Sus scrofa: one gene and its partner. The main gene of each other region encodes a partner of the protein of the gene in region 2 in a complex. Links are inferred from orthologs where the notes say so. Each region holds a gene or a part of one and is shown on either strand. Other genes may lie near its edges.

Evidence for each region. Proteins that work in one complex are often made in the same cells at the same time.
Region 1: CNOT2 (region 2) and CNOT8 share a complex: the UniProt entries of both Homo sapiens proteins name them as parts of the CCR4-NOT complex. The link is inferred for Sus scrofa from reciprocal best matches to the Homo sapiens genes CNOT2 and CNOT8.

What each region holds. Positions count from the first base shown.
Region 1 is NC_010458.4:68,349,191-68,353,367, reverse strand, and holds the start of CNOT8 (CCR4-NOT transcription complex subunit 8), read left to right. Parts: upstream 1-1,347; 5' UTR 1,348-1,469; intron 1,470-3,206; exon of another isoform or gene 3,207-3,254; intron 3,255-3,266; exon of another isoform or gene 3,267-3,450; intron 3,451-4,177. UniProt on the Homo sapiens protein: Has 3'-5' poly(A) exoribonuclease activity for synthetic poly(A) RNA substrate. Its function seems to be partially redundant with that of CNOT7.
Region 2 is NC_010447.5:34,529,891-34,533,522, reverse strand, and holds part of CNOT2 (CCR4-NOT transcription complex subunit 2), read right to left. Parts: intron 2,668-3,632; coding exon 2,542-2,667; intron 846-2,541; coding exon 721-845; intron 1-720. UniProt on the Homo sapiens protein: Component of the CCR4-NOT complex which is one of the major cellular mRNA deadenylases and is linked to various cellular processes including bulk mRNA degradation, miRNA-mediated repression, translational repression during translational initiation and general transcription regulation.

The DNA of each region.
Region 1 (4,177 bases), on a different chromosome or scaffold from region 2:
AATGGTATTACTCAATTGATAGGCATCTAGGTATGTCAGCATTACTCTAAGGAATGTAAAGAAGTTTGAGGGGAGCGTTCCTGTCCTGGCTCAGCGGAAACAAAACTGAATAGCATCCATGAAGATGCAGGTTCGATCCCTCGCCTTGCTCAGTGGGTTAAAGATCTAGCGTTGCCAGGAGTTGTGGTATAGGTCGCAGGTGTGGCTCAGATCCTGCGTGGCTATGGCTGTGGTGTAGGCCAGCAACTACAGCTCTAATCTGACTCCTAGCCTGGGAAACTCCATATGCCAAGGGTGTGGCCAAAAAGAAAAAAAAAAAAAAAAGAATTTTGAGGGAGTTCTTGTTGTGGCTCAGCAATAACGAACCTGACTGGTATCCATGAGGTTGCAGGTTTGATCCCTGACCCTGCTCAGCTGGGTAAGGATCCAGTGTTGCTGTGAGCTGTCATGTAGGTCTCAGACTCAGCTCAGATCCTGAGTTGCTGTGGCTCTGGTGTAGGAAAAGAATATAGTTCCCACTTCCATATGCCAAAGATGCGGCTCTAAAAAGCAGAAAGAAAAAAAGAGTTTTGAAACTTGGGCTCATGGAGTGAGTGGTATTATATGCCTGGAGGCATTTACCTTCTGCCCCACTTTCAAAATATTTCAAACACAAATATGTATTTTAGCTTTTCCTACACATTTCCTAGCTTAAGAAATGTACCTTGTTAGATTTACTTAGAATTGGTAATAATAGAAAGGTTTGTCTAGCTAAGGATATCAGCCTGCCTGGTTCTTACAGAGACCCATTTTGCAACCAATGTTTCTGTTTTTTTATACCTATACTCCCCCAGCTGAGAAGATGTGTTCAAGCCTTACTTTCCATAGTCTGTAGTTCAAAAACAATCGTTTTGGAAGTTCCCTTGTGGCGCAGCAGGTTGAGTTAAGGATCCAGTGTCGCTGCATTTCCCTTAAAATGTGAAATTATATTATTGACTATGTTCTTTTCCACCTACCCTTTGATTCCTTTGGTGCTTCTCCCTGCCATCAGCGGTTTACACAATTGTTCCAGTTTTGCAATAGCCTAAGTGCAACATAAAATCCGTTGTTCCACAAATACTCCAAGTTCTCTGGAAATACAAGCGATCAGTGTGTTCATTTTACCTTTACCTTCAGTAACCTGAGAAATGAACACAGTTCTGGGAGAGGGGGTATTGTGGGGTAGGAGATGGAGTGTGTTTCCTGTTTGATTGTTTCAGCAGACACCAGGACCAGTGCTGCAGGAAAAAACAAGCTGTTCCTCACATGACTAGATCCCCAGAGGGCTATCCTCTCCTGAAAGTAATTACAAGTGTATGAAAGGACATTAGAAACTCACAGGACGGGGGAAAGGAGCGTCTTGCCTGCTTTCTCGGCACAGTATTGCTGAACAGAATGATTAAGTCTGCAGCACTAACACAGACTGGATATCTCACGGATGACAAACTGAGGCAGGCCAGAAACACTTCTTTTTTCTTTTCTTTTTTTGTCTTTTTGCCTTTTCTAGGGCCGCACCTGAGGCATATGGAGGTTCCCAGGCTAGGGGTCCAATCGGAGCTATAGCTGCTGGCCTACACCAGAGCCACAGCAACGCCGGATCTGAGCGGCGTCTGCAACCTACCCCACAGCTCACGGCAACGCTGGATCCTTAACCCACTGAGCAAGGCCAGGGATCGAACCCGCAACCTCATGGTTCGTTAACCAGTGAGCTGCGAAGGGAACGCCTAGGAACATTTCTTGGTTGAATACACTTATATATCTTCCTTAGTGCGGTGTGGTTTTCCTATGTATTAACACAGACATTGTGTGAGATTGTTACTCATATCTCTATGTTATGGGAGAAGGAAACAGACTCATCAGGAGGGGAGAAGAGGAGGCGTGTTCAGAAGGTGCATTTGATGGGTTGGGAGTGCACTTTCCTGGAGACTAGCCTTTGGGACTCTAGGTTAGAATTGCCGATGAAGGCTTGCCCTGCCTCCAGCCTGGGAAACGGATGTGGGGTTTTAGAGATTGCTTTTAGGAGGTAATGTTTAAACGTAGAAAGGCGCAGTGATTCGGGGGTGAATTTGAAATCCACTTATCAGCAGCCCCCTTCGAGTGGAGGCATCTAGGAGTGTAACTAGAGCCATGCTCTGCGGAGTCTGCTGCACCGTCCCTCAGGGATAGAGTGGAGTTTCTGAGCCGGTGACTGAGGGCGGCCTGGAATTGTCAGCTGTGTGCGGGAAACCAGCGCTTTGTCTTCTCTCCCACAGCTGGAGAACGCGAGGCAGCGCTGAACCTTCCCCGCCTGGTCAAATACTGCCAAGGACAGGTGTTGGCAAAGAGCTCTCTTCTCAAATAGGATTCACAGTGAATCGGAGGGAAGGTGGGGGCTAAAAGGATACTGCTAAGCGAGGCCGGGGCACCACTGCTCTCGTATGGAGGATCCCACGAGCTCGCCTAGCGTCCGCCAGGTCTCGGAGGTTCTCCGAAAGCGGGAGGGCGGCAGCGCTGGCCCAGTGCCTCCCCCACCGGGCAGCGTCTTCTTTGTTACCCGAGCAAACCCCAGCGGGCTGGCTGCTATGGTAATGCTGGCTGCCCAAACCGGCGAGGGTGGGAGGAGGGAGGCGGGCCTCGGCGGACGTCACCCAGACTCGGTTTGGGGGTGCTGGCCCACCCACAAACAATTGTTTGCCGGAAAGGAAGCTTAAGGCAGAAGTTTTGTAAGTGGGGCCGCGTTAGTACAGAAGGAAGGGGGTCAGGAGCTCCCCCAGCGATCCTGCCCCCAACTTCGCTCCCGGCAACGATTTTAACGGTCTTTCAAAGAAGGGAGGAAGGGACTTTGGTAATTTAGGGTATTTGGTCAGACGGGCCACACCCTTTGCTCTAGCAAGGCACGCCCCCCGCGGGGATGGGCTAGTTCTAGACCACGCCCCTTCCCGAGCGCGCGGAAGGGGAACCGACATGGAGGGGCGGTCCTCAAACTGAACTGAACCGACGCAACTAATCGCGCGTAGGCTTGGGGTGGGTGGAGGCAAGGTTCCGAAGGCCTCCTCCGAGGTTGCCCCGCCCCGCCTTTTTCGCGACTCGCTCTTGGTTTTGCGCCTGCGCGTCGCTCTCGCGAGCTCTCGCGCTGAGCGAACACGGACAGAGTCTCCGGGGGCGCGCAGAAGGGGAGGGGCGGAGAGGGTCAGGCGCGCGCGTTTGCTGTGACGCGAAGAGAGCAGGCGAGTCGGGCGGATCGGATGGATAGAGTGGTACGACCAGATTGTTTGGTGGGTGGTGCGTAAGGTCGCTCTGGGCACGAGGGCGCCCATCTCACTAGGCCGCTTGGTTCTAGGAGCGGATCCCGGGCAGGGTGAGAAGAACGTCGGGTCGGGGCAGCTGCTACAGCTCCCGGGGAGTCTGCCCCGCAGCCCGTCTGCCCGCGCTTCGCGGGCCCTGCGGGTCAGGGTAAGCGAGCCCGCGCTAATCAGAGAGGAGTGTGGGATGAGAGTGTGTGGGAGGCTTTAAGGGCCTGCGGGAGGAAGAGGAGTGTGAGTATGCGTGAGGGACTGGGTGTGTGAAAACAAAAAGAGGCCCATCGAATAATAGCCGTAATAACTACCACTGCCACACGGTAATATTCTAGTGATGTGTGCCCGGACTTTACAAAGCACCTTGTATGTTTCATTCTGTTAACCTCTACTGCAATCCTCCAAGATGTTTACCGTCATTAAACCCATTTTACAAGAAGGGAAAACTGAGGCACGAGAGAGGCTAAGTAACTTATGCAAAGCCAAACACAGCTAGTCCATGTCCTGATTTCGAATTTAGGTCTGTCTCAAAAAAAAAGGGGGTAGTTAAAAGGAGGTGGAGAGGGCTGAGGGTGGTTTTAAGTGGAAGAGTCATCCGGAAAGAGAATCGAAGATAACGGGAGACGGTGGGAGGGAGAGGACCAGAGTTTGGAACCTTGCGGGCCGCCTCCTTCCTCCTGGTTCTTGCACAAGTTTTCCTTTTCTTTGGCTTCGTGACCCAGAGCTCTTGGCTCTGTAGGAGCCAGCTCACAGGCCTGGGCCACATGAGTGGTTTTAAGAACTGGTTGAACTGCGGTTCCGTCCAGGGTGGTGTCTTGGGACACTGTTTGGCTGGGGCTCCTGGGGGCCGGGGAGGGGAGGATGGCGGCCCCCGCGGCGGCGTA
Region 2 (3,632 bases):
TTCAGTCACAGATTTAAAAAAAACAAAACAAAACAAAACAAAAAACCCTACCTATCTCAGAACTTTATGTTTTGGGGTACATTTGAGGTTACATTCCTCAATACTTCATTCAGAAGATAAACTAAATATAAAACACAGTACATTACCTAAAATATTACCATAAAACACCTCCAAGATAAGTTAGAATATGTGAACTTTTAAAATTCTTACTTATTTTAATTCTTACCCAATAATCTTCATCAATTATTTAAAAAAAAATATACAAACTCCCATCACACACACACATAAAAAACTATTTTCAGTGAAATGTGGAAGAAATAAACATATCCGTTAAATCAGAAAGAGGAAGCTGAGTTGGCTGAATCAACACAGGAATAAAATTGTGTATAAAGATTCTTCAAGGAGAAAACTTACTCAAGAAAAACACAGCTCCTTAGAAGGCTATAATATCAAACTTCATGGGATCCAGCTGACAGGGACTACAATAAAAGTCTAAATTAACTCTGAGAAGTTCAACAGAAATTGGCAAACCTATATGAAATAGGAAAAAAATAGACTATCTTCTAAGTTATACAGGTTTCCCACATTCTTCAGAAGTTAGATTACAGATATTCAAGATAAACAATTTTGTGATAGTACTTAATTTTGTCTATAAAACTTAATAGAAGAGAAATCTGAAGGGGAAAAACTACATAACTCACATAATTCTCAGTTACTTACAGATTTACTGTCATCATTACTTGATGTTGGATCTTTATAACTGGAACCAGGTAATGCTGGAAAGTCTTCGTTATGTATTGAGAAGTCCTGGGATTGCTCATTTGCTGGTTTTGTTACCATTCCAACTATGTAATGAAAATAATTCAGAGAATTGCAATTGATATTTATGATAAACTGCTACAAATTATAAAAATTTACTTTCCTCATGATAATATACCAAAAGGATTTTCTTATTATGCTTTGAAAGCACACTTCAAAAAATGAGTATTCTGGATAACAATGAATAAATTTTTATATATTGATTAATAACTAAATACATAAAATAATACAAGGGAAATAAGTAATAATCCTATAATTCTAATCTAATGTCATATATAGATGCTTAAAAACATAATTTGATATTGGTAATAATTATTAAAATTTTCAGTTTAAAAGTGCTTTTAATATCTGACTAGCTATTATAAATACCAGTTAACTGCCAAAAACAAATGAACAAAATAAATTTTAAAAGAACACATCAGTATTCTACTTGAAAGTGACTTACAGAGTGAGCAAATTGCAATCAATTACAAAACAACTCCATATTATTTCAGATTTTCTTGGACTCCATGTAATAGATGTAAAACATGCAAGAACTGGGAAGTAATCCTCCCACTATACTTGGCATTAGTCAGGCCCTTATTGGAGAACAATATCCAGTTTGGGGCTCCACAATTCAAGAACGATATGGAGAAACTAGAGATGGTCCAAGGAGAGCAACGGGAATGATTAAAGGGATGAAAAAATGGACCTATGAGGAAAGGTTAAAAACATTAGAGTCTGAACTGAGAATCAAGTAGCTAGGTACTCAACTTCCAGGGCAGATCATTTTGGTTTTTTTTAGGGGGGAGACTAATTAGGAAATTTTAGAATGTGAATAATAAATTTTTCCCTTCTTCACATATTATTTTTTATTCATATTCTGAAAGACAGAGAAATTCTTCTTGGTTGAAAATGGGGAAAACAGTTTTCTTAGAAAAGTGATGAAATGACCCCTCTTCTAAGTTCACTGTTTCTGCTACTGGTCTTTATCAGATTCTCTCAAAAGGAAACAACTATGTGCAAAGAATTAAAATAATATGGTTACACAGCTGTTACATAATCTTTATGTCTAGTTCTATGAGCCAAATCTCTTCTTTACTAAAGACAGTAAAAAGGGTGACCGAAAGACTACATAAACGACATGACCCATGAGCAGTTCTCAAGAGGAGGGAACTTTTCCTCCCATGGGGTATTTGTCAACACCTGGAGATACCTGTGGTTTTCACAGTGGGGGGTGGGGAGGTGGTATGGGTAGGGGTACAGGATGCTATTGGCACCGAATAGAGGCTTAGGGATGTGTAAACATTCTGTAATGCACAAGACAGCTTACAAGAACTATGTGACTCAAATGTCAAAAGTGCGGAGGCTGAGAGATGTAGAAAAAAATCATCCCAGAATTTATTAATTACTAGGAATGTGGGAATGCATTCTTTTAAAAAATATGTGACAAACTGAGAAAAGGCAGACTACAAATAATCATTAAGGTTTAGTATTAAGGCAGAAATGCCAGAAGAAGAAAAACATCTGAATACCAATAATTTCCTTTTGGGGTTTCCATACAAACTAAGTATGGAACACTATTTTGGTGTCCCGGGAGGAAAAAGCACTCTGCATTATCAACTCTGATAAAACTGCACTATTCTGACTACAAAACACATAAAAACATGTGAGTACACGTGTGTGTGTGTACTTCTGTACAACACAAAGTTTCCACTGGACATCATTAAAAAGTTTAATTACCATAAGGAGCTCTTCCAGCCAAGGGGTTTATTAATGGAGTTGGGTTACCACTTCCTTCCCTTCTGTTTCGGTCTGCTAATGCTGGAAAATCTGAAAGGTCCAATCCTGTCACATTTTCACTTCCATCTAAATAATAGGAAAGAACACTAGTTATTGGTTCTACAAACATTTTAAAAAGATTATTAAAGACCAAGTATAATATAAATGATAGTGCCTTCTTCTTAAACCATGTACAGCACTGTATTTGGTATACATAAATACACAATAAACATCTGGGGATCAACCTCATGTGGAAGAACTTTACGAACATCTCAGCCAAGCAATATGTACCTACTAGCATAATAAAAATCCCAAATCCTAGAGGCTTGAGATAGGGAATAAAGAGTAACATTTCCCTTGTGAAATGTTAGTTAGCCAGAGGGGAGGCTGTTGTGATAAAACTGCTCTTTTCATCGCCATCTAAAAGCAGAGGTTGTACCTGGAACACCTGGAGCTTCATTTATAACACAGATGTGATAATGACAGCGCGTCCTGCCAATGGCCTGAATCATATTGGAGGCACAGGCAAAGAAAGCAGAAACCCTAGGGATTTCTTTCGTCCTATGATCTATTGGTCCCATACACAAATGTGCATGTATATGAGGGGAGAGATGGGGAGAAAGAGAGGGAGAGAGAGGGAGGGAGGGAGAAAGTGTGTGTCTTGCAGGTGAGGGTGTAAGTAGGGCTGGAGAATGTATGGTATATGTAGGGTTCCCACATCTGGTTAGTGTCCGAACTGTATGGGACTATGATACAAACCCCAGCTTTTATTACCTATTACACAGTAGGCGCTCAATAAATATATATTGAATAAAATTTATTTTCGCTCAATTTTAAAAATTCAGCTTCTTTAAAAAAATAAAATTTAGCCCAACATTTCTACTTTGCCTATTTTAATCATTACCTTGACCTCTTTTCAATGTTTATTATTTATTACCCTTATAATCTTACATTCGTAATTTTCAAAGAATTTTTGACCTTAGAATTAGTCTGCACTATAGTTTTCTTAAATCTGTTTCATCTAGTGTATTATAACCATTTTCAATCTATTT